Linked DNA regions of Coturnix japonica. The main gene of each other region encodes a partner of the protein of the gene in region 2 in a complex. Links are inferred from orthologs where the notes say so. Each region holds a gene or a part of one and is shown on either strand. Other genes may lie near its edges. The genes, in order: SNRNP40, PPIH, PRPF4, PRPF8, PRPF3, LSM6 and LSM4.

The links.
Region 1: PPIH (region 2) and SNRNP40 share a complex: the UniProt entries of both Homo sapiens proteins name them as parts of the U4/U6-U5 tri-snRNP complex. The link is inferred for Coturnix japonica from reciprocal best matches to the Homo sapiens genes PPIH and SNRNP40.
Region 3: the proteins of PPIH (region 2) and PRPF4 are in contact, whole or in part, in a crystal structure (PDB 1MZW), measured with the Homo sapiens proteins. The link is inferred for Coturnix japonica from reciprocal best matches to the Homo sapiens genes PPIH and PRPF4. Residues at the interface, in NP_006338.1 of Homo sapiens: Phe14, Arg26, Phe46, Cys47, Thr48, Gly49, Pro57, Ile58, Gly59, Tyr60, Lys61, Gln173, Cys174, Gly175, Glu176, Met177; in NP_004688.2 of Homo sapiens: Arg113, Gly116, Glu117, Pro118, Ile119, Thr120, Leu121, Phe122, Gly123, Glu124.
Region 4: PPIH (region 2) and PRPF8 share a complex: the UniProt entries of both Homo sapiens proteins name them as parts of the U4/U6-U5 tri-snRNP complex. The link is inferred for Coturnix japonica from reciprocal best matches to the Homo sapiens genes PPIH and PRPF8.
Region 5: PPIH (region 2) and PRPF3 share a complex: the UniProt entries of both Homo sapiens proteins name them as parts of the U4/U6-U5 tri-snRNP complex. The link is inferred for Coturnix japonica from reciprocal best matches to the Homo sapiens genes PPIH and PRPF3.
Region 6: PPIH (region 2) and LSM6 share a complex: the UniProt entries of both Homo sapiens proteins name them as parts of the U4/U6-U5 tri-snRNP complex. The link is inferred for Coturnix japonica from reciprocal best matches to the Homo sapiens genes PPIH and LSM6.
Region 7: PPIH (region 2) and LSM4 share a complex: the UniProt entries of both Homo sapiens proteins name them as parts of the U4/U6-U5 tri-snRNP complex. The link is inferred for Coturnix japonica from reciprocal best matches to the Homo sapiens genes PPIH and LSM4.

What each region holds. Positions count from the first base shown.
Region 1 is NC_029538.1:602,876-606,375, reverse strand, and holds part of SNRNP40 (U5 small nuclear ribonucleoprotein 40 kDa protein), read left to right. Parts: intron 1-26; coding exon 27-149; intron 150-1,118; coding exon 1,119-1,239; intron 1,240-1,965; coding exon 1,966-2,048; intron 2,049-2,467; coding exon 2,468-2,529; intron 2,530-3,500. UniProt on the Homo sapiens protein: Required for pre-mRNA splicing as component of the activated spliceosome. Component of the U5 small nuclear ribonucleoprotein (snRNP) complex and the U4/U6-U5 tri-snRNP complex, building blocks of the spliceosome.
Region 2 is NC_029536.1:5,567,302-5,571,280, forward strand, and holds the start of PPIH (peptidyl-prolyl cis-trans isomerase H), read right to left. Parts: upstream 2,801-3,979; 5' UTR 2,732-2,800; coding exon 2,666-2,731; intron 2,368-2,665; coding exon 2,303-2,367; intron 2,043-2,302; coding exon 2,019-2,042; intron 1,650-2,018; coding exon 1,605-1,649; intron 1,374-1,604; coding exon 1,331-1,373; intron 999-1,330; coding exon 906-998; intron 251-905; coding exon 163-250; intron 1-162. Other genes in the region: CCDC30 (coiled-coil domain-containing protein 30), read right to left, coding at 3,402-3,615, 3,789-3,859. UniProt on the Homo sapiens protein: PPIase that catalyzes the cis-trans isomerization of proline imidic peptide bonds in oligopeptides and may therefore assist protein folding. Participates in pre-mRNA splicing.
Region 3 is NC_029532.1:813,639-817,863, forward strand, and holds the start of PRPF4 (U4/U6 small nuclear ribonucleoprotein Prp4), read right to left. Parts: upstream 2,801-4,225; 5' UTR 2,765-2,800; coding exon 2,690-2,764; intron 2,508-2,689; coding exon 2,330-2,507; intron 2,136-2,329; coding exon 1,949-2,135; intron 1,752-1,948; coding exon 1,664-1,751; intron 1,448-1,663; coding exon 1,368-1,447; intron 1,150-1,367; coding exon 1,056-1,149; intron 484-1,055; coding exon 389-483; intron 92-388; coding exon 33-91; intron 1-32. Other genes in the region: anaphase-promoting complex subunit CDC26, read left to right, coding at 2,894-2,974, 3,062-3,235. UniProt on the Homo sapiens protein: Plays a role in pre-mRNA splicing as component of the U4/U6-U5 tri-snRNP complex that is involved in spliceosome assembly, and as component of the precatalytic spliceosome (spliceosome B complex).
Region 4 is NC_029534.1:4,149,342-4,152,841, forward strand, and holds part of PRPF8 (pre-mRNA-processing-splicing factor 8), read right to left. Parts: coding exon 3,494-3,500; intron 3,405-3,493; coding exon 3,241-3,404; intron 2,905-3,240; coding exon 2,778-2,904; intron 2,653-2,777; coding exon 2,460-2,652; intron 2,122-2,459; coding exon 1,934-2,121; intron 1,721-1,933; coding exon 1,482-1,720; intron 1,392-1,481; coding exon 1,245-1,391; intron 1,036-1,244; coding exon 825-1,035; intron 553-824; coding exon 436-552; intron 350-435; coding exon 102-349; intron 1-101. UniProt on the Homo sapiens protein: Plays a role in pre-mRNA splicing as core component of precatalytic, catalytic and postcatalytic spliceosomal complexes, both of the predominant U2-type spliceosome and the minor U12-type spliceosome.
Region 5 is NC_029540.1:1,894,025-1,898,314, reverse strand, and holds the start of PRPF3 (U4/U6 small nuclear ribonucleoprotein Prp3), read left to right. Parts: upstream 1-1,490; 5' UTR 1,491-1,617; intron 1,618-4,290. Other genes in the region: MRPS21 (28S ribosomal protein S21, mitochondrial), read left to right, coding at 1,007-1,187. UniProt on the Homo sapiens protein: Plays a role in pre-mRNA splicing as component of the U4/U6-U5 tri-snRNP complex that is involved in spliceosome assembly, and as component of the precatalytic spliceosome (spliceosome B complex).
Region 6 is NC_029519.1:27,572,517-27,576,634, reverse strand, and holds the start of LSM6 (U6 snRNA-associated Sm-like protein LSm6), read right to left. Parts: upstream 2,801-4,118; 5' UTR 2,612-2,800; coding exon 2,440-2,611; intron 205-2,439; coding exon 91-204; intron 1-90. UniProt on the Homo sapiens protein: Plays a role in pre-mRNA splicing as component of the U4/U6-U5 tri-snRNP complex that is involved in spliceosome assembly, and as component of the precatalytic spliceosome (spliceosome B complex).
Region 7 is NC_029543.1:3,006,058-3,009,986, reverse strand, and holds the start of LSM4 (U6 snRNA-associated Sm-like protein LSm4), read right to left. Parts: upstream 2,801-3,929; 5' UTR 2,686-2,800; coding exon 2,683-2,685; intron 2,559-2,682; coding exon 2,517-2,558; intron 2,389-2,516; coding exon 2,290-2,388; intron 142-2,289; coding exon 1-141. Other genes in the region: PGPEP1 (pyroglutamyl-peptidase 1), read left to right, coding at 3,075-3,108. UniProt on the Homo sapiens protein: Plays a role in pre-mRNA splicing as component of the U4/U6-U5 tri-snRNP complex that is involved in spliceosome assembly, and as component of the precatalytic spliceosome (spliceosome B complex).

The DNA.
Region 1 (3,500 bases), on a different chromosome or scaffold from region 2:
AGTTTTACAACACAATGTCTTTTCAGCTGTGGGATATCAGGAAAAAAGCTGCTGTCCAGACATTTCAGAATACTTACCAAGTCTTGGCTGTAACCTTTAATGACACCAGTGATCAGATCATATCTGGGGGCATTGACAACGATATTAAGGTATGATGCTTGTGTCCTTGTGCTTCTTTCCAACCACCTTCACCTTTTCCATCCCATCAAAATTTGCTTTAGCAGCACGCAAAATGCCTTGGTCAAGGACAAATGTGGTTAATTTTACTGTCACGAGAACTGCACTGACCCACAGTGTCTTGATCTAAGGCCAGAAAACTCTGAGATAGTTGTTCCAGGGCTGTCTGCCATGTGACTGGCCATGCATCTTAGCGTCACACACTGCCACTGATATGGTATGCAAGCTCTTCTGGCAGCTGGTGCCCCTCACAGAGGCTCTAGAGCCATATATGTTGTACGCTAAAGAAAATTTGGTGACACATCCATGTTCTCTGACCCTTGCTTCAATAACTTACTTTGTCACCTGCTACTGTGGAAAGTTCTTATTTAAGAGCACGCTCAGTGTTCATTCACTTGGTAGCTGAGATTCTCCAGATAGCTTCACAGTTCAGTCAGCCTTGCTGTCTTTTTGGCCTCAGTCTCCAGTCTTACCTAGGCATGGGGAGCACATACTTGTCAGAGGGCCACCACTAAGCGTAGCACTGAAATGATTTCACTTCTAATTGCCCTTTGAATGGCAGTAACTCATAGAGAAAGAACAGCATGAAATTTTGAAGACTGGATAACTGCTCCTCTGTGCCATGGGTCAGTGGAATTTGGGAGCTGAGGGAGCTAGGCCAGATTGAAAGGAAATCCTGCGTACATCAGCTGCTGAAATTTAACTATTTTCTGCTGATGTGGTTGGACACGTTAGGTAAGAAATGGGGGGGAAAATTTGCCCTTTAGAGGACAACACATAACTTTATAGCCTTATATTTTAGCCATTCAGACCTTACCCAACTGCAAGTGGAAAGTTATTCATCAGATGGCTGATCAGTACTTGCATGAAATTGGAAAGAGCATTGCTAATAGTCTTGTCTGTCCATTCTAAGCCACAATTTTGTCTCTGCTGTCTGAAAGGTGTGGGACCTTCGCCAGAACAAGCTCACGTACACGATGAGAGGACATGCAGACTCAGTGACAGGCCTCAGTTTGAGTTCAGAAGGTTCTTACCTGCTCTCTAACGCAATGGATAACACAGGTATGTCCTGCCAAATGTGACAGCACAGCTGTGCAGACAACTGTCAGCCTCTGCCTTTGAAGAGCTGTGTGTGGTATTTCAGAAGGAGCAGCTGAAATTGGTCAATGTGCTAAAATAGGAGAGTCAGGTGGGCGGAATGCAGGCAGGGTCTGCAGAGAAACCTTCAGTTCTCTTTGTTTGAACCGTGACAGTTACATCCTTTGTAGAGAAGGAGCAGCTGTATCAGAAAGGTTTGTCACGTCTCCCAAAGGGCAATGAGGACATGGGCTGTGGCACAAGTTATTTGCACAGGCAGTTGAACATAATCTTGGTCTGGCTTTTGTCAGAGTGGTTCAGCTGCTTCCCTGCAGCAGGGAATGACAGTGCTGTTTCCAGACTGCTCATCTCCTGCGTATGGGTGCTCAGTGAAGCTGATCTGATTAGAAGTATGATCATGAAGTGTATTAGAATAAAGCAAATGCTCATGTGAGGAGACAGTAGCTCATTTGTGTAGTAGTTGTTTTGGAATTTTCCCCTCCTGTTGGGAGTGGTCTTAATGTAATTATAAATTACTGCATTTTACCTTTCATATCACAGCTTCCTGCAGCGGGAGGCTGTTGGTATCCTTTAGCTAAGGAAACGGGCATGAAAAGAACAAGGAATGCAACCAGATCTTTGATCATTAGCAGCTGACCTTGCCCCTGTAGTTCTGGTATCTCCTGCTAATTACTGTGTGCTCTGTTGCAGTTCGCATCTGGGATGTGCGACCGTTTGCCCCAAAAGAGAGATGTGTGAAGATCTTCCAGGGGAATGTGCATAATTTTGAAAAGGTGAGTGTATTACAGACCTAAACACTCATTTATACAGCGTTGCCACATGAACTTAAAGAACAGTTTACAGGGAAGTTAAAGTTTTAACCAGTGAGACTTTAATAAGGACTCGAAGAAACATTAACGCACAAAGTGAGATTCCAATTAAAGCTGTAGTAACAAAATTTCTTTGTTCACTTTGGCTATAATTAGCTGTAAATGAAGTATTTTCTACACATGTTGTATAAAATAACAAGGCACTGGATGTTTCCAACAATAAAACAAAATCTTTAATTACTTGATGAGAATCTTTTGAAGAGGGATCATTAAAGTAGTGCTCTTGATACTTAAAGTCTCATAGTGATTTTACTTGAACTGGAAGGGAAAAGCTAAATCTTCTTCGGAAATGGAACTGTGCCTATTGTTTTGTTTTGTCTTAGAATCTTCTGAGGTGCTCCTGGTCTCCAGATGGGAGTAAGATAGCAGGGGGATCTGCTGACAGGTGAGTTATCACCGTGTTTCTCTGTTACTGTCAATGCCAAACCATTTTTGCAATCACTGCTGAAATGAGCCTGGATAGTCTCTAAAATGAATATGAAGAGCCAGAGTTGTGCATGGAGGTGTGAAGACCCAAACAACCCCCTGTGGTAATCTGTGAGCATTGTCTGCAGCAATGGTAGCAGAGATGTGTTCATATTGCCTTTGCATCAGCGGAGGAGCACTATATGGTTGTAAAATCCTTATTACTGTTGTCAGAAACCTTCTAGAGAGCTCCATTTCTGCTTGTGTTCAGTCACTGCATCCAACAGATGGACAAGCAGATGACGGGAGCGTAGCTGGCAGCATGCGAGGTCTCTTGCAGTCATAGCAGCAGATTCTTGTGAGACTTCTCCAAAGGCAAAGATTCTGGCAGATTGCTGCAGAGTGCTGCATTTTGTGCTGATAATGACCACCAGAATCAGTCAAAGCTAGCAGGGAGCACCAGTGGCGTTTCGAGGATCGTTTGTGATCCTTACTTAATTAACAGGTGTGAGGAAATTAAGTTCTGACTAAATTAGCACATATCTGACTTATTTAAATGAGAGCTTCTGTAGACTGGATAACCAAAGGGTAAACTGGGCAGAGGGAGGAGGGCAGCAGAGGGTCCCTGCCAGACACTGAAGGTCGCCACGAAGGATACCAACCTGCTGGAGCAGATCCAGGTGCACTCTCAGTGACATGGAGACAGGAATTCCTGCAGGCCGGAGTCCAAGGCATGGAACAGCAGTAATCAGCAAATTAATGAGCTTCTGATAGACGACAGGGAGAGCTTTAGCTCATACTGTGCAGATATAGTGGGGCCAGCTGTCACAGCTGGCAGCTGAGACATGACCCTTCTTTCCAGTCCCACTGGGCTGCAGCAGCAGTGCATGAGGTGATGAATACCTGTTCCTTCATGGCTGGTCCCAGTGTGGGCAGCCTGACACGGTGAAG
Region 2 (3,979 bases):
AAATGTTCCTAATGACGCATCTCAATACCTGGCTGCACAAATAGCTCTGCTGGCACAATGGATGGGGAAGGAACAAGCAAATCCACAGCTGCTTATTTTTGACCCTGTGCCACAGAAACTGTGTAAGAGTCTGTATGCCAGGCCTGCACGGCAGGTACTCACCGAACACAACATGTTTTCCATCCAACCAGTCACACTTGGAGCACGTAATGAAGAACTGACACCCATTAGTACTTGGACCACTGTTTGCCTGCAGGTTGAATTTGTCAAAATGCAAAGCATACAAATTAGGACTTCCCAAAGCTGAAGGCAGAGACATCTCACAGCAGAAAGAGCTGCTGCTTTAGCTCTAACCTGGATACATTTTATTGAGCTCACTGCTTTACAAACCAAAGGAAACAAGACAGACATTTGCAGGACAGCACCTGTGCTTGGTCACGGTGCATTATCAAGTCAGGCCCTGCTACCGTGTGCAAGTACACAAAATCTTTACTGGCTACAACATCACACTGGGGAAATAACGTTATAAAAGATTTCACACTAACACTGCTGTGGCTCTGAAACTCCGCAGTCTTTGTTTCCTCCTTGCTAAGGTCAGTGTTCAACAGAGGCATAAGGAAAGAAAAAGACCCATCACTCATCACTGTACCAGATCTGCAATCCTCAAGCCTTTATGGAAGCTGAGCAAATAAAACGTGTTCCTGAACTCTGACAGGTAAGAAGAAAGGATTCTGGAGGATCAGGACTCACTTCACGAGCAACCTTCTGACTGCTACTTAAAACACAGGCCTTTCAGACCCCCCAGCCAACTGCAGATTCCTACTGTTTGCCAAATACAATGTATAAAGTTAGGAAAAGTGCAGAGAGGAAACACCAAAAGCTATCAGCCTTCATTTTATACTCACCATAGAAAGCAGGCCAGGAGCAGAGTGCTTCAGCTTGAAGTTTTCATCTGCAAAAGGACCCCTGTATATACTGGCTACTCCAGTGCCATCTCCCTGCACAAGAGAGGCAATTAGTCTGCCACAGCGTTTACTTTTGCATCGTGAACTTGAAATAACTAAGCCTGACTTGATTTGTACTATCCCTTGGAATAGCTGCTTGGTTTGTGTACTTAAGCATCTCTTCTCACACATACAGTGGAGATTCTCTGCCTCTTACTGGGGGGATGGGAGAAACAGGAAGGACAACAGGGTGAAAAGAAAACCTCTGCAAGTTTGAAAAGCCCCCAGTTATACCATCGTACTGCTAAGAGAGAGAAAACATGGGAAGGATGAGCTGTGTGCTGTACAGCACAGGACAAAGACAAAAGCAACGTGGTAGTACATACGTTTACAAAGTCACCTCCTTGGATCATGAAATCCTTTATTACCCTAAAAGAGGAAAATGATACTTAGTTCCCAGGAGAAAAATGTCTTGTGAATGTCTGCAAACACTACAGCCTACGACCAGCGAGCAGTATATACGACCAGTGAGCAGTATATACAATCTGTGAGCATTAACAGTATCTGACAGCACCCAAAGGGCAGACAGCAGAAGCCCTTGAGGCAGGTCCCAAAGCCACCTACTGCTACTGAGTCTCTCAACAAAAGCAGAAGTACCACCTGTGGAATGTGCTTCCTTTATAACCTATGGGGACGCCATCTTTCCTACAAGGAAATAAAAAGGAAAATCATTACAACTCACAGTAAGTCCCAACACAAAACCCTCCCAGGAGCTCACACCCCCAAAGGGACGCCCTGTACATTAGGCCTAATACATCACCTACCAAACCAACCCACCTCCTTCAGCCCATCCTGGAGCTTAATTTCACACTACCAGAGGCCAAGGGAAACCCTGAATGGCCACAGCTGTTTGCAGCATCCATTTCATCAGCTCAAAAGGATCCCACTGCAATTTGCAGCACAGACATCTGCATCCCCCCTTTTCACACAGGTAAGGAAACCTTCCAAGTGAGCCCTTTCCCAGCCCAGTATTGTCTGAGGATGGTAGATAAAAGGAGAAGATAAACCACATACCTGAATTCACCGGTACAAAACTGCCTGGAAAAGAAACAGCAGAGAAAAGCCGAGTATGAACCACTTCTGAACTTTGAGAGCACAAAGGCGGCATTCAACAATGAATGCTGTGCAGGACTTGGGTTATTGCAATGGGGATGAAACAGGAATCAATGGGAACCACTCAACGCTTCCATTTCACAACAGAGCTTTGAGGAGATACTGAGAAAGCTGCGATATGTAACGAGCTCAGGAGGTTTATATCACGATATAACGGTACCGTGCTCACAGAGGCTGCTCCTCACCTGAAGTTCTCTGCGGTTTTGGGCACCACGTCAGCGAACAGCTCGATCTTCATGCGGCCAACCTCCTACATAGACACAAACACAGATATAGACACACATATTGACACACATGGATATAGATACAGACATAGACACAGATACAGACACAGACATAGACACACACAGATACAGATACAGACACAGACACGGCCGGCTCACCCCGCTCCCACACACCCCCCCGCCCCCCAGCCAGGCCTCTTCCCCCCGCTCCTCCTCCCGTAACCGCCGGGGATCCTAAACCCGCCCGAAGGGGAGCGGCTGCGGCCTGTAGAAGCCGATGAGGCGGGGATGGGCCCGGAGAAGCGGATCCGTCGTGCCGCTCACCTGCCCGCCGATGGTGACGTCGAAGAACACCACCGGGTTGTTGGGGTTGGCCGCCAGCACCGCCATGATGGTGGCCTCAACCGGAAGCGGAAGTGGGGCAAAAGAGGCGGGGCTACGCACGCTCTGACGAGCGGAAATTGTGCGTGTGACGTCATCCCGTCATCTACGTGGGTGGGGAGGCCGGGACAACATGGCGGCTGTGGAACCGCCTGCAGCCACGGCGTGTAGAGCGGAGGGAGCGGGTCGGGCAGCTCACAGCGCTCTATGGAGCCCCATAGAGTGAATGGAGCCCCATAGAGTGAATGGAGCCCCATAGAGTGAATGGAGCCCCGCGGATCCCGTTACTGCTTCCTGCCTGTCTCTCCTTCAGCCACACGGGGGCAGCCGCTCCCGTCTCAGCACAGAGCAGAGGGGAAGGGAGGAACCCGGCGGTACGGCCCAGCACAGGGAAACCGGTCCATGTTTTATTGAGGAAGCTTGGAAAGCAGGGAGTGCAGATGAAGGGAAATAAATCTCATCCCACCCCCGTTCTTTGTCTGTCTGCAGATTGCAGCTCTGGGCTGAGATACACACACACCTTTAAGGTTGGCCATGTTAATTATTAAAGAAAGCAGCTGTTGAATAATTGAGATACCACAGAAATCACCAATTATCATCTGCCAACACTCCCTCTTTCAATCTTGTATGACAACAGGAGCCTGAATCCTGGCAGCCTGCACTTTACATCGTCCCCAGGTTACATGTTCTCGGAGCTGATGCTCTGACTCTCCTCCTGCAGCTGGGAGGTTGCAGTGTCTCCAGGTGAGGCGACGTTCAGGTACCCGATCTCTGAAGGCTGAGAGGGGGAGAAGCAGAAGGACGAGTCCTGGCTCTCAGCTCCTCCTTCAGGCTTGGAATCGAGCACAGGCTTCAGGCTGCTGAGGGAGTCTGGTGGTTCCCGTGGTAGGAAACTAAAAACACATTCAGCTCTTCAGTCACTTTAAGCATTATCTGTTTCCTTGCCGCCTGCACAGCCGCGGTGCGCCTCTGCGAGGCAGCACAGGGCCATGGCTGAGCCCAATTCCTGCCTTCCCACAGGCAAGGAGTAACCCACCCCCTTCCTTTTTGTTTTAACCCACAATACCTGGCACGGGGAGGTGGTGCTGACACCTTACTCTGGAGCTGCCGTTCAGAGAAGTTGGCATTCTTCAAGTCCTGGAACAACAGAGACTTTCAAAGGGGGATGTGCATGTCAGACCCTCAATTTCAACATACAGCCTTGGACCTGAAGGCGTCCCCCGTTCCACTACAGGCTCCTCAGCTCTACAGTACTAC
Region 3 (4,225 bases), on a different chromosome or scaffold from region 2:
TACACAGGATATCAGTGAAAGTCATTCTTTACCTCGTAAGGTGTGAACAAGGTTACAGTCAGGCACAGACCACAGCTTGCACAGTCCACTCCTGTTGAACACAAGAAACAGAAGTCAGTGTAGACAGGAACATCAAACAGCTTATCAAACAAACTACACCAAGGGCTTCTGCAGTGGGAAAGTGGCAGTCTGACAAAACAGCATCTGACATGGAAACACACATGGAGCAAAAGGTGTGTCACTGAATTCCTCCTTGAGGACAAAATGGCACCTGCTGACATTCATCGACATTCCTGAATGTTTATAGAGACGAAACACTCAGTGCGGACCAGGCAAGCCAAAAGACTGGACACCATGCCCTAAAGTAAATGCTTTGAAGAGAACTTACCAACAGGCAGTAGCCAAGAGTTTGGAATTGGGACTGAAGTGGCAGTAGGACAGCGGGCGATCGTCCCCAATCTGACTACAGAAGTTATTCAAGGACTGCAACAAAATACAGAGAAAACAATGAATAAATACAAATGACTTAGGGACAGTCCTGGCCAGTGACTGAAGCAGAAGTCAGAGACCACAGGGAAATCACTTCCAAAGAGAGATGTTACCTCAGAGCTACTCTAGCCCCAAGCAGGAGGATTATGGAGTTTATCTGACTAAGAGAAACTAGCACAGCTCCATGGCTCAGCTTAGCACTCAGTATGCCACCCACCATACTTGCCACCAATCATACTGATGCCCTGCTTTGCAACTCAAGCTTTGACTGAAAAGAAGCAATCTGTTTAGCTTCAAAGGTAAGAGGCAAATCAACACAGGGATGTGTCTCTGCATCCCTCTGCAGTGCTAGAATACAACAAAAGCAGATTTCTCTGTACAACTGCAGAAACAGAGCTAGAACACGAGTACCACTAGAAGAGAGAGAAAATGCAAAGCTCTTCAAGGCGCAGCACAGCAAATTACACACATCTGGACAGCCCCTCCAGGCAGCTCGATCCTTCTGATCTCTTTGAAATTCAAGAAAAAACGTTCACAAGCAGCAGTTGAACAGATGGCAAACCTACTCGTAGGGATTTGTGCAGTTCTTGTCTCTGCGATGTCCTGGTTGCCTCTGGAATCTCTTTGAGCAGCCGGGCTTCTTCCAGACGCTTCGCTGCCCTGTGAAGAACAAAGATCAAGTACCAGATGTTCACATTTCCCATGCCTTGCTGCTAGAAACCCTCACTTCCCCATTACTGGGCTAACAGATTTGTCTACCGGAACATGTTCTTCATTCTTTTGATCTCAAATTTACTACACTACCCACAATGTGGTTAGTAGTTAAGAGTTTACAAAATGTTGCACTTCTCCCCTTCATTGATGTTAGTTTTCCTTACCTGGGAAGCGAGTAGTTAGCAAGCCACAGCCTTGCTGTTTTCAGACTCCGTGGTCCTTCATGGTACCAAGTCTGTTGATACTGTAAGGAAAAGAACAAAGCCAAAAAAAAGCTTAATGCTGCCGATTTAAACAGTGCATTGACAGTTCTGCTAAAATGGGCAACAAAGAAAAAGAAAGGGATGATTTTAGAATTTGCACCCTGACCACAACCAGGTCTTGAATGTCTCAGAGACCACCAAAATAAGGTATTCAAAGATGACTGTATAAATCTCCTCCGGCACTGAGAAATCATTACCTCTTCTTTAGACTTTTTCGACCTGTCGTCATCTTTCCTTGTCTTTTTTAATGCATCTGTGCCGACCACTGAGAGGATATTTCTTAACCTGAAAGGAAACACGTTAGGTTACGTTCACTTGGTGGACAAACACTCATTGTGTTCCATTCTTTCTTGTTATGTTGTAACCAAACACAGACCGGCAGCACTCGCTGCACGCCAACTACAAGGAAAACAGTGGGAATATGATAAAGTGGGGGAAGCTGAGCGTTCCCTCTTTGCAACACACAAGGGCAGACACAGCACCTCTCCCTCCTCTCTGCGGGACCTTCTCCAAAGAGCGTGATGGGCTCCCCGAGGGCTCGCAGACAGGCCTTCACTTCAGAGTCATCCGTGGAGACGTTGATTTGCCGGGCTCGCTTCCTGCGCTCAAACTCAGCCAAGACTTCGGCCTGTCGCTCACTCATGTGATCCTCCAGATCAAAGACCTCACCTGCACCAAAGCAAAACCATCAGCCTGGACACAGGAGCTGGACAGGAGATCCTCCTCCAACAGGAAGATCCCAACAGAGAGCTGGCAACCCAGGGAAAAGCCTCCCCTTATCAAACCTAATGTATGCTCAGATATTATTGGAGTGACTTTCGATTACACTAAATAAAGGCCACCCCATGCTGCTGTGCTCTCACCGCTGCTGATGTTGATGTTCCCGGCCTCCAGGGCCGCCTTCATTCCCTCCTTCCCCAGCAGCCCGGGCTCCCCCTTGGCCAGCCGCTCCCGCTCCTTCTCCTCCAGGCTGCCATAGAAGATGGGCGCCCTCTTGGCGGGGGGAGCATCGCCATCCTCGGACGGTTTGTTCTTCGTGGGCTGCAAAGGAAAGACAGAACCGATAGGAATCCGTGTGTGCTGAGTGCAGAGCTGACCTCATAACGGACACGGCACGGAAACCACAGGATCTTGTGATAACACCCCAAAGCCGCAGCGCTACCGGTCACAGCCCGACCCGTCACAGCCCTCCCAGCTCCGTTCCTTCCCATCTCCTCCCGTACCTCAGGCGGTGCGGGGCCCCTCACAGCCGCAGGCCGCGCCCCGCCTCGAGCCACCGGTGCCCGCACGGCCGCCATCACTGCGCTGCCCGACGGCCTAACGGAGCACTTCCGGTGACGGACAGGAAGCGGCGGGTCACACCGGGTAAACCGGAAGGGGCGGGCGGTGCGTGACAGAGCGGAAGGGGCCGGGAGGCGGCGGAAGCGATGCTGCGACGGAAACCAACGAGGTTGGAGCTGAAACTGGACGATATCGAGGAGTTCGAGGGAGTCCGGAAGGACCTGGAGGTGCGCGGGGACGGAAGGGGAAGGACCGGCAGGGGTCGGGGGTTGTCCCGGGCACCGGGGCCCTGACTCGGCCCCCCCGCCCCGCAGAGCCGCAAGAAGCAGCGGGACGAGGCGGACGTGGCGGGCGGCGAGGAGGCGGCGGGCATCGCGCTGGGAGCCGAGCACAAGAGCCGGGAGCAGCTCATCAACGACCGCATCGGGTACAAACCGCAGCACAAGGCCGGGGTCCGAGCCGCGCACTTCGGCACGTTCGAGTTCTGACGGTGCCGCTGCTCCCGGTACCGAACGGAGCCACACGAGGCTGTTTTAATAAATGGGCTTTTTTACAAACCGACACCAGCTCCTGGGTCTCCTTTGGTTGCACGGGGAAGTAAAAGCCTTCACTCAGCACAGCTGCAGCATTGACGGTTGTTTTTAAAGCACACAGCCACAGTAAAATGCATCTGCTTTATTAGTTAATTATATACAGGAGATCTTTGATACGTTACTAGATAAGTTACCTTCACAAAGAGCAAGAGGAAAATCAAAAGTGACAGTCTGCTGTAAACAAAACTATCCGTCCTTTTGGGTCTGCTGGGGCTGCAGACCAACTGAGAAGGCACTGGGGGAAATAACAGAAGCTCAGGGATGAACACAGCCTGGATACACTGTGCTTCCTACAGACATGTAAAGACAAAGTATCAGGGTGCACTCACAGACACAGCGATCACATTCTAAGCATGCTACATATGCTGACACGTGAACTTCATTTACTCAAGTCTAATAATCTAATATTAGAGTCCTCACCTCCCTCTAAGCACCACTCAACACAAGTTTAGTGTTAACACTGGGACAGCTTGAAATACAGCCAGCATAAAGGCCAGGATGGCATCCAACATCCAACGCACTAAGTGCAAGTCGGTATCACAGTGGGCAGGTTTTGCTCAGACTGGGGAAGCAAACAGCATCAGGTGGGCAGGAGGGAGGCTGGGGCACAGGGAGGCTCCTCAGGACTGTCAACAGTTACTAACCCTCAAAAGAGATGATTTCAAGGGAGGATGCACATACAGTGATGCAGAAAAGCAAGCAGGACTGAACTTATGTTATAAAAGCCGCAGCTACTGCATAGTTCCAACTTATCCTTCTCTGATTGGAACAGTCAGAATTCAAGTCTGGGCACTTGAATGCAAAAGGAAAGGTGGCTAAAAAGCTTCACTGATAGCAAGAAGATCAAGTCAAGCAGAAGTTTTATTTTAGAGATAGTCAGAGGTA
Region 4 (3,500 bases), on a different chromosome or scaffold from region 2:
AGCAAGTTGTGGTTTAGCATTCCTAAATACTTCAATGGGAAAGAATATCTAACAGAGCCCCTAAATCATGTGGGCAGTTCAGATCAGGCAATATTACTCACCTCAGGTCAGACTGTGGGATGAGAACATGTCCCATAGAGAGCATACCCAGACCTCCCAGCTCTTTAGGGGTGTAGAATACCACGGGTGGGAAACGACTGGGCATTTTGGAATTCAGACCAATTTTGATTCGAGTCTGGATTTTATTCTCACATTTCACCAACAAGTCAAGCAGCTCCTGAGTATTTACAACAGCTTCCCGGAAATATGTCATCAGGCCAATCAGAGCTGTATTCCATTTATTGACAATCTAAAAAGGAAGGCACGGGATCAGTTCTCAGCTCGTTCTTCAAGCATCTGCAGGAAGCTCTGTCACACAGCTCACTTCTGCCTTACCTTAGTGAAGGTTGTCGAGCCAGACGCCATGAGGATCTGCCTCACTCTGTTATGGAATCTCTGCATAGACTCATCGTCAACGCGCAGGAAGCACTGAGCTGTGCGCTCCTTGGTGACCTGCGAGAGCACAGGGCTACGGGTCACTTACAAAGCACAGGAAGGGAAGAGCCTGAACAGTTCTGGGTCCTCCCTTATCACTCCCAAAGGATTTCCCATCCCTTGCAGGAAAGAAAGCTCCTGAATTCTTTTTAGTTCTACCTGTCAATGCTTCCAGGCACACAGCTGCCAAATGCATGCTGCCAAGTACTCCCCACAAAAAAGGTACAAGCTTTGCTCTAATGCCAGCTACAGACAACAGAATCGACTGCCTTCCCAGCCTGCCAAACTACCTCATTCTGCAGGTTCCAGACACCATCCTTGTGGGTGAACTCCTCATAGCTGGTGCGGCATTTGGGCAAAATGCGGCACTCAAAACCACACATGTTAAACAGCAAATTGGGGTTATCCTTGCTGTAAACAGACACGAAGCTGTTCTCCCACTGCACTGTGGTGACGGATCGAGGCAGGCGGTTCTTGATATCCCAGAATACAGCACGGCCACTGAAACAGAAGGCATGCACAGTGAGGCCAGGCCTTGAAATTAAAGTGAAATACAAACTGGACAAGCTCTCAGTGCTTTCTCAGCACTATGGTCTCTCACACCAATCACTCTCTGTCAACACTATGACACAAAACTCCTCTTTACTTATTTATCACAACTAATTTTCACACTTCTCTACCCCTTGTGTTTCTAAGGCTGCATCGCTTACAGGTTGACATCATGCTTCATGAGGCGCATCCGAGCATCCCGAGGCCAGCACTTCTTATTGTTGTAGCCCACAATATTCTCGTTGTTGGGATCTGGATGCTCTGTCAGGTACCGCTGAATCAAGTCCCTTGCCTCATCTGCTGTAAACCTGGAAATGAACAGAAGAGGGTCTGTGGTGACATAAACATCATTCTCAGATGGACTGCCCACACAGATAAAGGACCCAGTGAGCTCTCACCTGAAGAAGATGTGAATGCGGTCAATGTATCTGCAGAAAAGGCGAATGGGATGGGCCACCTCAGTTGCAATGTCTTGGAAGCTGAGGAAATCATTTGGCATCTGGGGAGGCCCAGCCATTTCACTGGCACGGTGCAGACCCAGCACCAGCAGGTCCATCACAAGCCCATAATACTGGACAATGAAGGAAGCAAACTGCAGTCCACGAATAATCCCATAGGAGTTTGTGTGATTCATGTCCTGAGGAAAAAGAAGTGTGAGAAACCTGGCTCTCACAATCCCCCAAAAACCTTTATCTGAGCATCTGCTTTTCAACAGGGCCCAGAAGGGTTTTCTTACTCCCCTAATCACCTCTTCCCCCAGCAAGTCTTGTGTCCCAGTTCCACCTTCACCACCACCGCCAACCCCCACTCAGTTATACAGTCCACACACTTTTCTGATAGTAATCATCACCTTGTAGTTGATCACCACGTTGTTTTTTGCTGTCATGTAGTCAGCAATGTTGTGATCGACAATAAGACGCAGCAGCCTGTTGAGTAACGTCAGGTCAATCTTCTCATACATCTTCTCAAATCGAGATTCCAGCATCACATTGCATTCACCTTCACTTGTTTCCCAAACATCCTGCAGATTATTAATGCCTGAGGAGACAAACAACTGTGTCACATTATGTGATGTGGCAATTCTGAGTGCAGAAGCACCCTTCCAGGTTTGAGAAGTCAGTATATTTTCTGTAGTGTTTTTCAGCCCCATTTTTCCTTCCAGTCTACCCAGAAATTGGAACAGAAATATGTAATCAATCACAAATGTTACAGAACTTCTCTTCTTCCAGTGTTAACCTACAAAATACAGCCTCAGAGTGTAGCAACAAATGGTATTACTGCTGCAAGTATGAAAATCCAGCTTTTAAGTGGATCCTTATAAAAATAGCTCCTGATAAAAATACTCATTCTACCATGGAACACAAGACCCCACTAACCTTGGCACCACTTGTACACTAACAGTGGAGGAGGTTCAGTGTCAGCAGGCTTGATCCACGGAGGGAAGAGTCTTCTTTTATCAGCCTCATACCACAAGTACTGATCCAGATAAGCATCTGTGATTTTCTCCAAGGGCTCAACATCATAAACAGGAACCAGGTGGCTGTAGAGATCCATGAACTCAATGCCAACCTAGAAAAGAGAAGGTAAATCTGAAGTCTACACCTGACAGAGAACACTCTTGATAATCTTGCTGCCATTTTGTACCCGTATTCTGTAAGTTTTATGTATGCTCTGGTTTTCACCACAATACTCACCTCCTTGAAGGCTCTCTGAGTTAAAAGGTGTCGTTTGATTCTGGACAGAGCTTCATGAGGATTATCATAAGCCTGTTCAATCAAGCCCAGCTCCTCCCTCTGTGACTGATTCAGGCGAGATTTCACACTGAAAGTGAGAAAGAACAACAGTTTGTGCACTCAAGAATGAACAAACTAAAATCTGCTGCAGTGAATTTATGAAAGATAAGTGCTCAACTGAGCAGATCAAGACAAGATCTCCTATTCTTCACAATTCACATCCAGCCCCAATTGGCAGAGTCCATGAAAGAATGCCCAGGCTGCCTTGGCAGTACCACATCCTACAGCCTCAACCTGCCCCACTCCAGGTAAATGGTATGGTGCACTCAGTTCCAGGAATAACGGATAACAAAACAGTTTCAGAAGCCTTTCCCAGAGCAGATATCTGACCCTTGAGAGAAACTCGTCACTTCCCTGTGCTTACCTATAAGCTTCCTTCAGCCTCTCCAGGGCCAGTATGAGCAACTTGGTATCGTGTTTGTAGGACAGTGGGGGGAATGGAATGGGTGAGAACCTCCTGCTTTCCAACCAGTGCACTGTGGTTGTGTACACGGCAACGGCCTCTTCTGCAGTGATGTAAGGCCCATCCTGCACAACCACAACACCATGATTAGTCAGTGAAAGTTTGCCTGTGGAAACAGCACCAGCTTGGGCAACCTCAGGCAAGACAGAAGTACCTTCAAG
Region 5 (4,290 bases), on a different chromosome or scaffold from region 2:
GATCTATGCAGGGCTCGGCATGGAGGAAAGAAGCTCATTTATTGTGGGGTGGGCGAGCAGGGAGAACAAGAAGTGATAATGAGGTTTGATCTTGTAATGCAAAGCTTCAGCAGGCAGAAGGGGCAGCAAAAGGGGGAGATATAAAGGCTGGATAAAGGACAATTAGAAGCAGAAGGGTCAGTGAAAGGGGGAGATTTATAGGCTGGATAAAGGCCATTAGAAGCAGCTGGGCTGTGTTAGGAAGTGGCCATGAGGGAGGAGAAAGATGTTGACCTGCAGAATCAAACTCTATAATCCAGAGATGGGTTATAAAGCAGGTATGTTTATTCCAGCATTGCGTAGCGCCGGGTGCAAGGGGGATAGCTCCACCAAACATGCACACCGACTTGTAAAATCATGACACAGATCTAGGTACACTTAATACATAGTCAATGATTTCTGATACATATTCAATGATTTCTTAGACTTCTAATACATTGTCAATAGTTCTAGGAATTCTGATACATATTCAATAGCTCTTTAGCATGCAGACCCCCTCTTGTTCTTATCAGGGGGAATGCAACTCCTCATCCGTGAGGTCTCACTCCTTATCTGCATCCTCCCTGCTCTCCCATAGAATCACAGAATGACCGGGGTTGGAAGGGACCTCAAGGATCATGTAGTTCCAACCCCCCTGCCTGGCAGGGCCACNCAAGGATCATGTAGTTCCAACCCCCCTGCCTGGCAGGGCCACCAAACATACACCTTTACTAGATCAGGTTGCCCAGGAGACCCCATAGATCCCCATAGAGACCCCATAGATCAGGTTGCCCAGGGCCCCATCCAACCTGGCCTTGAACACCTCCAAGGACGGGGCATCCACAACCTCCCTGGGCAGCCTGTTCCAGGCTCCCAGGCCCCTTGTTTCTTTTACTTGTTACCTTTAAGTTTCTTTTACTTCTTTCTCTAAACTACCTTTAAGTTTCCTGCTTCACTCTTCAATGTGACTCATGTTCTCCCCCCACAGGATCCTGTCTCAGGATGGCATCGTTGAGTCAGTGAAGCAGGGCCGGTACTACGAGAAGCCGTGTCGCAAGAGGCAGCGCTTGGCTTATGAAGCGTGCAGGCGTGTGTACAACACTGAGATGGCCCGCAAGATCTCCTTCCTCGCCCGCAAGAGTCGCATGGACCCATGGCTGGGCTGCTAACGGGGTTACAGCCGTCTGTCCTCATGGCCGTCTGTCCTTTGGGTGCTGCTGCTGTTAATAAATGCTGTGTGCAGCGCTCTGCTTCGGCCACGCTCGGGTGTTGCGGTTGGGGGTGGGGGGAGAAGCGCTGGGTTTTGGGTTCTGGGTGGCGTTAATGGGCCGGGCTGGTTCCGCTCGCCCCCACGTGGTTATTTCCCGCCACGCGGGGCGCGCCTTTTCCACCGGTTTCCCGCGCTCTCGTGTCACGTGAGCAAAGCGCGCGGCTTCACTTCCTTCCTTCCATTCTTTCCCGGCAGCCCTCAGGCGGGCGGGACGCGCATGCGCAAAAAGATCCCCGCAGCCATTTCCGCTTCCGCCCCGACGTGCCGTCGCCGTCAGGCCCGTTGTCGCCGTCCGGGCCCGGGGCCTGCGGGGGCCGCGCCCCGCCGCGGTGAGAGGCCGCGGGGAGGAGGGGAGGGAGCGGCTGAGGGGAACGGGGGGGGGAAGGACCGTGAAGGAGCGGATCTGAGGGGACTCGGGGCCCGGCCGTGACGCGGGGTTGCGGGGCGAGGCCAGGCCCCTCCGCTTGGGCCCAACGGGAGCGTTGAGTTGATGCGCTTAAACCCGGGGCTGAGGTTGGGGCTGAGGTTCGGGGTTGGGGTTCAATTAACTCATAACGTTAATTAGAGCCGCTAATTGAAGAGGATCCCTTCAGGAGTTGTGGGAGCTGCCGGGGAACCGAAGGGCTGCGGTTGTTGTGGTCTCAGCATCACGTTAACCGTGTTTTGGGAAGCACCGGAGGGATGTTGACAATAGAAGGACACGGGGAAATAGTTTGGAGTTAAAAGAGGGAAGATTTAGGTTGGATGTTGGGGGAAGTTCTTCACTAGGAGAGTGGTGAGGCCCTGGAACAGGCTGCACAGGGAGGTTGTGGATGCCCCGTCCTTGGAGGTGTTCAAGGCCAGGTTGGACGGGGCCATGGGCAACCTGATCTGTGGGGTCTCTATGGGGATCTATAGGGTCTCTGGGGTCTTTATGGGGATCTATGGGGTCTCTATGGGGTCCATAGGGTCTCTGTGGGGTCTCTATGGGGGATCTATGGGGTCTCTGGGGTTTCTATGGGGATCTATGGGGTCTCTGTGGGGATCTATGGAGTCTCCTGGGCAACCTGATCTAGTAACTGTGTGTGTATGGTGGCCCTGCCAGGTAGGGGGTTGGAACTACATGATCCTTGAGGTCCCTTCCAACCCAGGTCATTCTGTGATTCTGTGGGGTTTATGGAGTCTCTATGGGGATCTATTGGGATCTATGGGGTCTTTGGGGTCTCTGTGGGGTTATTGGGGGTTATATGAGGTTATATGGGGTTATGGGGTCTCTATGGGGTTATGGGGTGGATATGGGGCCTCTATGGGGTTAATGGGGTCTATTGTGGGTTGGAACTACATGATCCTTGAGGTCCCTTCCAACCTGGGTCATTCTGTGATTCTATGGAGGGATGAGGGTCAGTGGGTGCCTCCATGTGGGTGTTACCTGCCCGTTTTCTGCTCCTCTTACGCCCTCAAAGTCCCATAGAGCTCCCAGCACCGACGGCTGTAGGAGCGGCCCAATGATACTGATATGGGGGGGGGAGGGAAATACTATTGGAGCGGCTGCTCTTCTTTCTCCGTCCTCGTTAATTGCAGAAGTTGAAGAGGAACGTGAAGTTTAAGCCAAGTGTGAATTAATCCTGTTTAGCCTTTCTGAGCAAGCATGCAGAAAGCTGTAACGCATCAGCAGTGCTGATATGGCATAGTAATCAGTTATCTTGATGCATCTTGACGCTCAATTAACCTCACCTTGAAGTATTACCTGCTTCCAAGCCTGGACTTAATGATGAATTACTGTAATGATGCCCCTTTGGGCTGTATCTGATGCTCCTTTTTAATGTATCTCATTGAAACCTGCTGTAAAAGAATACAGGGCTGCAAGCTGTGTCCAGCCTTCTCCCTATGGATCATTAGGAGCTTCCCAGCTGATGCTTCAGCCCCTTTGCTGCTCTTTCAGATCCTTCTCTTGGCTGTTTTTCAGTCTCTAACTTGAGAAGCTCTTTGTTACCACATCCAGGATCTTTGCTCTCAGCTTTAGTGATGATAAGTGTATTTTGGATGCTGTTTGCTCTCATTTTAAGGTAAAGGCTCCACAAGGTTTCTCCCATGGGCATGAAATGTTGAGGTCAAACATATTTCCTTAAGAAGATTTTCTCCTGTTTCCAGATAAAGGAGACTTGGTTTCCAAATCAGATTAGTGCCTGGCTACGTAATTAAACATTATTGCATCCGCTTCATTGCAGCTTGTGTTAAAGAACTGCTAACGATTAACGGTGGGAAATTATTGTCTTGAGTCTGATTTGGAATTGGATTCAGTAGGAGCCAACAGGGCAGCAGTGCTGATCTGCTGCTTCATTTAAGCAGCAAACACAAAGGTAGTCAGGCATGTGCTGATTGTTAAGTATCAGTAAACCTAAATGAGATTGAGTTCCCCCTGGTCATTATAAGGGAGGCAGCCTAGAGCTGGGAGTGTGCTCGGAGTTGTATGGGAACCTTATGGGAATGGGAAGAACTCGAGGTGATCCAAGTGTGTGTGAGATGTTGCTGTATGTGTTTAAGGTGTTGTTGTACATGAAAAGCTTCTACTTGTGCTCCTGGAAGTGGTTTGTGGGGCATCTCTAAGTGGGCTGGCGTGAGTGTAGCTGACAGCTGATTCAGGCTGTGTTAGCAGGAGAAACCACGGGCTGAAGCAACACCAAGACCAAGCTTTTCTCCTCCTGTGTGTGAGAATCTTAGAATTATAGGTTGGATGTTAGGGGGAAGTTCTTCACTAGGAGAGTGGTTAGGCCCTGGAACAGGCTGCCTAGGGAGGTTGTGGATGCCCCGTCCTTGGAGGTGTTCAAGGCCAGGTTGGACGGGGCCCTGGGCAACCTGATCTGTGGGGTCTCGATGTGGATCTGTGGGGTCTCCTGGGCAACCTGATCTAGTAAATGTGGATGTTTGGTGGCCCTGCCAGGCAGGGGATTGGAACTACATGATCCTTGAGGTCCCTTCCAACCCGGGTCATTCTGTGATTCTGTAATCTGTGTGTGGAAGTG
Region 6 (4,118 bases), on a different chromosome or scaffold from region 2:
TGAACAGAACTCATCCAGGTCTGAGGAAAAGCACAGGCACTGAAAAGAAGCGCTGTAAAAAGTACATACAGCACAAGAAGGAGGAGTTACCATTATTTCCTCGGATAAATGCATCCCCATACTTGTTCTTTAACTGTCCATTTACGTATTCTTCTGTCTGTTCCAGAGCTATATTCATATAGCCATCCAGGCAAGCCAGGACACCTAAAGAGAGTGATAGTTTAAAAGTGAATCAACTTTAGCTTATTTCTGAACTAAACAAAACGGCTTTGCATTTGAACAGTACAAGGAAAAAAATTGTATCTTCATAGCAAACTAAACTTCCAAATGTGGTCAGGTGAGTCAGTCAGCAGCCCAGAGAGCATTAAAGGAACTAAACTGAGAGTAGGGAACTCCAGGTCCTGTACATGACTGGGTGGGGAGAACTCACTGAGACGTGACTTTGAAAGAGAACATCTTCCATTCTGAAAGTTTAGTTGTTGCTTTTTACTTTTGTTTTATGCCCAACTCCTGAGAAGAACCTGTGACATAAAGTGTAACTGGGCAGCCTAAGAACAAGGCTACAAGCTGAGTTTTGACCAAAGCTCATCAAGGATATATGTGAGAAATAACCCTTCTAATACAGGACACCACGCACATTTTTCTGATTTATTTTCCAGAAACTGGAGCACAGGAAGTTCTGCACGGATGTGCACAAGAATTTGTTTACGGTGAGGGTGACAGAGCACTGGAACAGGCTGCCCACGGAGCTTGTGGAGTCTCCTTCTCTGGAGATATTCAAGACCCGCCTGGACGCCTACCTGTGTGACGTGGTGTAGGGAGCCTGCTTTGGCAGGGGGTTGGACTCGATGATCTCTACAGGTCCCTTCCAACCCCTACAATTCTGTGATTCTGTGATTTTCATTCTTATAGACAGAATAACATGGGCTGCCAGCGTGATTTCTGTGTAAATCAATTCTACATCTTCAACGGGGAAAGGGTTTTCATATGACACTGAAATCTTCAGCCAAATTTAAGTGATGTACAAACAGAACATTTACATAGTGAACTAAATGTGGGGATTAACGGATGTGAAGAACTGCTCAGAAAATGCAATACGTACACAATGCAATTTGCTAATTGCATACATAAAACAACTTCTAACAAGCTGCTCATCTCCATCTTGTTTGTGTGTGTTTCCTGACTTCCTCCTTGCACACAGACACCACTATTAAAAATACAACTACCAAAATGGACAAGAATCTAATTTACCTGCTATTAAAACTGAAGACATGCAGTACATTGGCTGTATTTGAGGAGGGGGAGAACTCCAGTCTGAGAATCTTCCTCCAGGGTATGTTCTCATTTTCCAGAAGCGTTACTGTAATATCCTCCATTAAATAATTAGGAATTCAAGTTTTCTTGCCAACTTGTAATGGCTTGAGGATTGGTATTTTCCTGTATGTGTTTTTCATCCCTGTTTCCACATAAATGGGGAAATTCTGTCTGGCCACAAAGTGTTTTAAATACACCAAAACCTTCCAAGCCAAGTCAGTGACAACATTTTCACACCAGTAATCCTGAGTGCTTCAAGATGCCACAGAAAACAAATGTTTGCCCCAAGCTGAAGTTGGGCTGTGGGGTTTTTTTTTAAGCTATCACTCAACTGGCCAGGGTGCATCTTCATTTCTTTCATTGTTGTCTTTCTTTTCTTTGTATTTACTCCCAGAATACTAATAGCATCACATACTGTTGCTGCCCACCCTGGCTCATATTTTGCCTGTTTTTTATCAGTATGCAGCAATGTTTTTACATTCATATCCATCTGTACAACTGATTACACGTGCACTTTGCCAGGACTTCTTAGATGAGTACAGCGCTTGGCAGTGAACCAAGACATTTTACAGCTGCACACCAACGTGAGAACCAGGCAGCTGCTGTGCTCACAGTGGCTGGGAGGGTGGAGGTGCAAACATAAAATGAGAAGGGTAGCCTACAGGCAGAATCTGAAGAGATCTGCAACAAAAGCCTGAGATGCTGGGTTTCCTGATGTTTGGTTTATACAAGTGATCGAATTTCTGTAGAGAAATGAAGTGTGCATTTCTCAAATGTAAGCACCAGGAGGGAGTTAGGGAGAATGGAGGGAAACAAAGAAAGGAAAATAACTCCTGTATGACATTGGGCTGGTGTCCAAACACCAAGATTCCTTGTCAAAGGACAAACGAGCACTAAGATGAGCCAACTGAATTAAACCTACCTGAAGTAGCGATGTCTGGCATGATCATAACGTTTAAATCATCCCAGAATAAAACACCTGTCTCCTCATGGGAGAGGCATGATAAGAGCATCCAAACTTAACGAAGACTGAGATAAAGAAATAATTGTAGAGGCTGAGCTATTGGAGAGGCTCAGCCTAAAGGGAGCAGGACATCTCACTGCACAGACAAGGTGGAATCTTACCTCGATAATCGACTCCAGAATTTAACTTTACAACAACAGGCCTTCCAATGATCTGCTTTAGGAAGTCACTGGGAGTTTGCTTCCGTAGGCTCATCTTGATTTGTGTCGGTACGCTGGGAATAGATGTGAAAGCCGATATATGGATAAGCAGCACATCCCACCCTGCAGGCATTGAAGGCCAGGCTGGATGGGGATGCGAACAACCCGGTTTAGAGGGAGGCGTCCCTGCCTACAGCAGGGGGCTGGAAGTGGATGGGCTTAAAGGTCCCTCCGCACCGCTCCCCGCACCGAGGCACAGCCCGGCCCGCACCCCGCCGCCCGGTGCCCCATTGCGGCCGGGCCGAGACACAACGCCGCTCACACTCACCCGCTGCTACGCGCGCCCGGCCCCGCGTTCGCGGCCAATCAGCGGCGGGCGGTACGGCGCGGCGGCAGGGACACGGCGGGACGGGCGCGCTCGCTAAAGCGGGGCGGGTTGTGGCTGCACTGAGTAGCGCCGCCTCTATCGCTGCAGGGAGGAGCTGGATGGGATCACCTGCTGCCAAAGGACGGGGAGCAGCTTTCTGCTTCTGCACCCAGCTGTGGCCTGACCTCTGCAAAACCTCATCTGTGTCCGTTTTAAACTTATCTTTATAGTTTCTGTCTATTTTTATCGTTTCTGTCTATGGATACTTGGTTCATTGATGCCAGTCAACAAAATCCTTCTAATTTCCTTTTTAGTCCTAAATTTACAAACATATGTATTCCGAAAGACTGAAATAGAGATGGACAACGTTGTATCCTTAGCTCGCCACTTCTATGGCTTGAGGCTGAGCCATGAACCCACACCTTAGCAAATTTGTCCTGGTTTTCTGTATAAGCCTTGAAACAGTCTTCCATGCTGTACTGAGTAAATGAACCTCTGTGCAATAGGACACATTGCTGAGCATGTTGGTGTAGTGGGTTTTGCATTGGGAAAGAAAATTTCTCTCTTGCTTATTCACAAAGATTATATAATGTAATCACAACTGTAAATACACAACCTAAAGAATGTGTTGTTTCCTGAGTCACACAATCCCAGTGCTCAGGTAGGTGGTTTTCAAAGGAATTATGTAATCCATTCTGTAGACTCCTCGCAGATTTCAAAGCTTCGAGTGTGAAAAAATGAGACCCACTGTTTAATGGTTCTTCTTTTTGCTTCAGTCATCTAGATGAAAAAGGATTTGGGTCTAAAACTTTGCATGCGTTGCTATCAGTACATTCTTTAAAATATGGCATTGCTTTATCGTTCCACAAAGCAGAGAGCATTTTTCCAGCTGTATAAAACTCATTGAAATCAGTGACATTCTGCCCGTGTGTTTTAATCAAGATGAACTTGAAAGGTGAACATTGTAAGTGGTAGAAATTATTTATAATTTGGTAATAAAAGTTTATGTCTAACACTTCCAAACTTCATACATCTGCTATGTGCCAGCCTTGAGATATAGAACAATTGTGATTGCCTTTACATTTGGCCTCAGATGAAAGGTCATAAATTACAATGGGAGTTTTCAGTCCTTCGCAGCTCACAAAGTTTCCATTATAGCTTCTTCACCTCAAACATAAATGGTGACAAAGTTCTAACATGAAGAGTTGCTGTGGCCTTTACCAGCTGAACTTAATGATGGAAGCTGGGGGCTCGTCTACTATTGCTAAGTCTT
Region 7 (3,929 bases), on a different chromosome or scaffold from region 2:
CTGTTGCATCCCACCACGGCCTCTGCCTTTGGAGACCACCTCTTCTTTCACCATGTCAATTATCTCATCGGGGATCCGAAGGTATTTAATTGTGCTGCCACGGATGTAACACTCTGGCATCCTCCAGAACTTGTCACCATCCTATTGGGAAGCAACGTGTTAAGCTGAGAACAAAACCACGTGCACTTAAGTTGCTTTTTGACACTTGAATATCTCCATCACTTCTGAAGCGTGCGACAGATGTAATAGTCTATTCTGAATGTACAACCCATAATTAGCTGTGAAATTCCTGTTTTCCCTTTAAAACACGCAGCCCTACAACCTGCTGGGGAGTCAGGGGGCGTTCAGCCATGAGCCACTGCAGTTTCAGCCCGTTCACAACCGCCTTTGACTCTCACAGAAAGTGAAGGAAGAAGAGGAAACAGCACCTTCCCTTTGCTTCTCATACAAGAAGAGAATCGAAAGTGGGACTGGAGAGGGAAATGTGGTAAGTTCAACACAGCTGCTGCAACACGGGGCAGTTCCAGCACATAAAGCCCCAACCAGAGTCACCTACAAACTGAACCCCTTTGTGGTGTGGATTGAGCAGCGAGGAGCATCCAGCTGGGTGTGGGGTGAGCCCAGCAGCGCACAGGAACCGCGGCTGTGGAAAATAAGAGCTTACAGATCACGTTCAAAGAAACCTTCGGGTGCCAAGTTACGGAGCAGCTGCCTCTGTGTTTTGTTTAAGGCAGTTTCAGGGCTTTGCTAGGACACAGCCCATCAGGGCTTCAGCTCCTGTGGCTGTGGGAATAGGAACTGCATGTGAAAGTTGAACAACAACTGATGTAAGCGGGAGGAGGGATGGAACCTCGTGCGCACGGCCGTGCTCTGCTGCAGGGCTTGGCTGAACACAGGCTCCTCACAACTATCACACATGGACAGAGTGTCCACAACATCCCAGAGGAGTGGGTGAAACCAGAATGCCTCGTTTCACCTCTCCAGAATCAAGTTGTACCCCCCTCCTCCTCTGCTCCGGTGTTATTTGGGGCAATGCAGCATGCACAGGCAAGTTCCGTGTGTGTGAGACAAGCAGCCTTCTTCAAACAGGCACCCAGCAAACCCCACCCTGCCTGGATCCGCCCGGCTGCACTTTGGCTCTCTATGCAGGAAGGGATGGAGCCAGGTCCCCGGCTTCCTCGTTCCAGCTCCCCATGTAAACAGCTGCCGCAGCTCCATGCCATCTAGTGGCTGATCCCCACCGTGCCACCAGGAAGGCTTCCATATATACCCCCCCAGTAGCACCCAGGGGGTATTTAGGGGTGGGGAGTGAACTGCAGACCACTCGGTGGGTATAAATGCTGAAGTGCTCTGCCCACAGCAACACAAAGCTGCTTAATGAGGAAGCAGTATTAAAGGCCGGCATCCCTTGTTCTGCAAGCACTAGTAAGGCTTTGCCACTTGCCACCCCTTCCCATTGAACTTATCTGTTTATCTGCCCCAACAATCTGTGGATCCAGATTTTTAGGGCTCACTGCTCTGCTGTTATGATCCTTCTTAAACCTTTGCTTTGTTTAAGTACACACATCACATCTCCGTGCCCCAGCACTATTGGCCAATACCTTCCTGCTGTGGGTCCAACAGGCACAGAAACCCTTCCTGAAGAAGAAGGGTTTCCCTGACAGCCTCCCCCACAGACCCGTGATGTTCCCAGGCACAGAGAGCAGCAGCAGCAGCAGGAACGTGGCCAGGCACAGGCTGCCAGGGACAAGACCAGACACTTGAGGCTGAGGTCAGAGCTCAAAGCACAGATCCCAATCTCTTCTCGGAGCACTTTGGCCATGGGCAAAAGTAGCAGACGAGGCACAACCCGGTTAAACAAGAGGCCCTAATAACTTTTGATGTGGAGTTACAGGGCGTGAGGCAGGTGATGATGAAAGGCAGCACTGTGCTCGATGGGGCTGCATGGAGCGGGCAATGGGACAGGACCTGTCACCAGCCCTTCACACTGAGCACCTTCACCCTGCTGTCAATGGGCTCATTCGTTTCTTACACCTCATAACTGCGTTACATTCACATTCAAAGCAAAAGCAACACACACAGAAGGGTGAGGATCTCTGCGAGTCCCACTCAGCTGCAGGGCTGGGGGCTGATAGCAATGTGGGGTCTATGGGCGCAATGGGGGGTCTATGGGCGCAATGGGGGGGGTCTATGGGCGCAATGGGGACAACTCATTCCTGATCTGCTTTGATGCTGTTCAAAGTAGGGGGTCTATGGGCGCAATGGGGGTCCTGGCATTGAGCTGGTTACCCGTGAGGTGCAGATGACCTCCCGCAGGTTGATGTTCATCCAGTTGTCGCAGCTCACCAGGTGCCCGTTGTACGTCTCGCCGTTCTTCAGCTCCACCAGCTGGAAGAAGCAAAGGGGGGGGGTCAGCATGAAGGAACCGGGACCGACGGGGCGGCACGGGGACCCAACGGGACCCGACGGGGCGGCACCGGGCCCATAGGCCGCAGCGGGAGTGGGCCGGGACTCACCATAGGGTGGTTCTGCGCCGTCTTCAGCAACGACAGGGGCAGCTGCGGGGGAAAGAGAGAAAGGCCTCAACAACCGGGAACCGGGACCGCCTCGGATCCCCATGTAGGGGCTCAGGGAGTACCGGGACAACCGAACCGGCCCGGCCCGGCCCATTCCCGCACTCACCATCGTGCCGGAACCGCGGAGCCGCCGCCGCGCCGGGCGCTGCCGCTCAAACCACCCCCGGCCCCACACGGGACCAATCAGAGCTCGGCGCGGTCCTCGCGGAGCCAATCAGCGTGCAGGACCCGCCTCGGCCGTAAAGCATCGCCGAGGTTGGCGGTGCACAGCGTCACGACAGTGCCGTAAATTGAAACGCCGAGCGGGAAGCGGCACGGAGCGGCGCTCAGGAGGCGCTCTAGGCAGCGAGGCGGCGCGCACTCTATGGTCGCGCGGGGCCGCTCTGGTCCTCGGGGCGGCGCGTATTCTATGGCCGCGCGGGGCCGCTCTGGGCGTCGGGGCGGAGCGCGCTCTATGACCGTGCGGGGCCGGTCGCTCAGTGCGGTGCGGGAGCGGAGATGGAGAAACCGCGGAGGGCGGTGGTGGTAACGGGTACGGGCGGATGGAACGAGACCGGGGGGTGGGGAGGGGACGGCAGGGTGGGCTCTGATTCCATTATCTCAACGGGGGGGATGCGGGATTGGGAGGGGGCGGTGAGGGGCACATGGGGGTGTCGGGGTCCTGGTGGGGGTGTACGGGGATTGGGAGGGGCGCGACGGGGCTGCGGCGTGTCACAGACCCCTCCGGTTATACCCCCCCCCCCCGGTCCCCGCTGTATTTGTCCCATCTCTTGCCCCGGGGGGGTTGGGGGGTGGTCTCTGCTTCAAACATTCAGAGCTGATGGTGCTGGATCTGCCCCTGATGGTCGCACTGAGACCCCATTGCAACCCCATGAAGGTCTGCAGGGTGGGCTCAGTGCTGTGTGCCCGGCAGGACCCTGTGCTGGGTGTGGGGTGGCTGAGGCTGGGTTTGGTGCTACCCATAAAGTTGCTCATCTGATATGCAAGGAATCGATCTGGGGGTCGGTGTGGAGGATGAGTGAGGGGGCAGCTCAGTTGGGTTCAGAACGAGAGGTTTTGGTTACATTGGGGTACCTGGAAAGCTGGTGTGATTCATATTGAAACCATCCCAATGAAACACCTGTTTGGTGCTCTCACATCTATAGCTTATATATGGAGAAACAACAAGTGCATTAGGATCCTGTGGGAGCCTTCAGGAGGGTTATTATGGGGAGATATTGATGCTGGTTCCGCTTGGAGGCTCAGGTTGATACTGAGATCCCATTGAGCTGTACAAAGCCCTGTTGCTGTTGTGTGCGGTGTAACCTCAGCCCTCCCCTTCTGCTGGCAGCACATGGGAGGTTTCCATTAGTG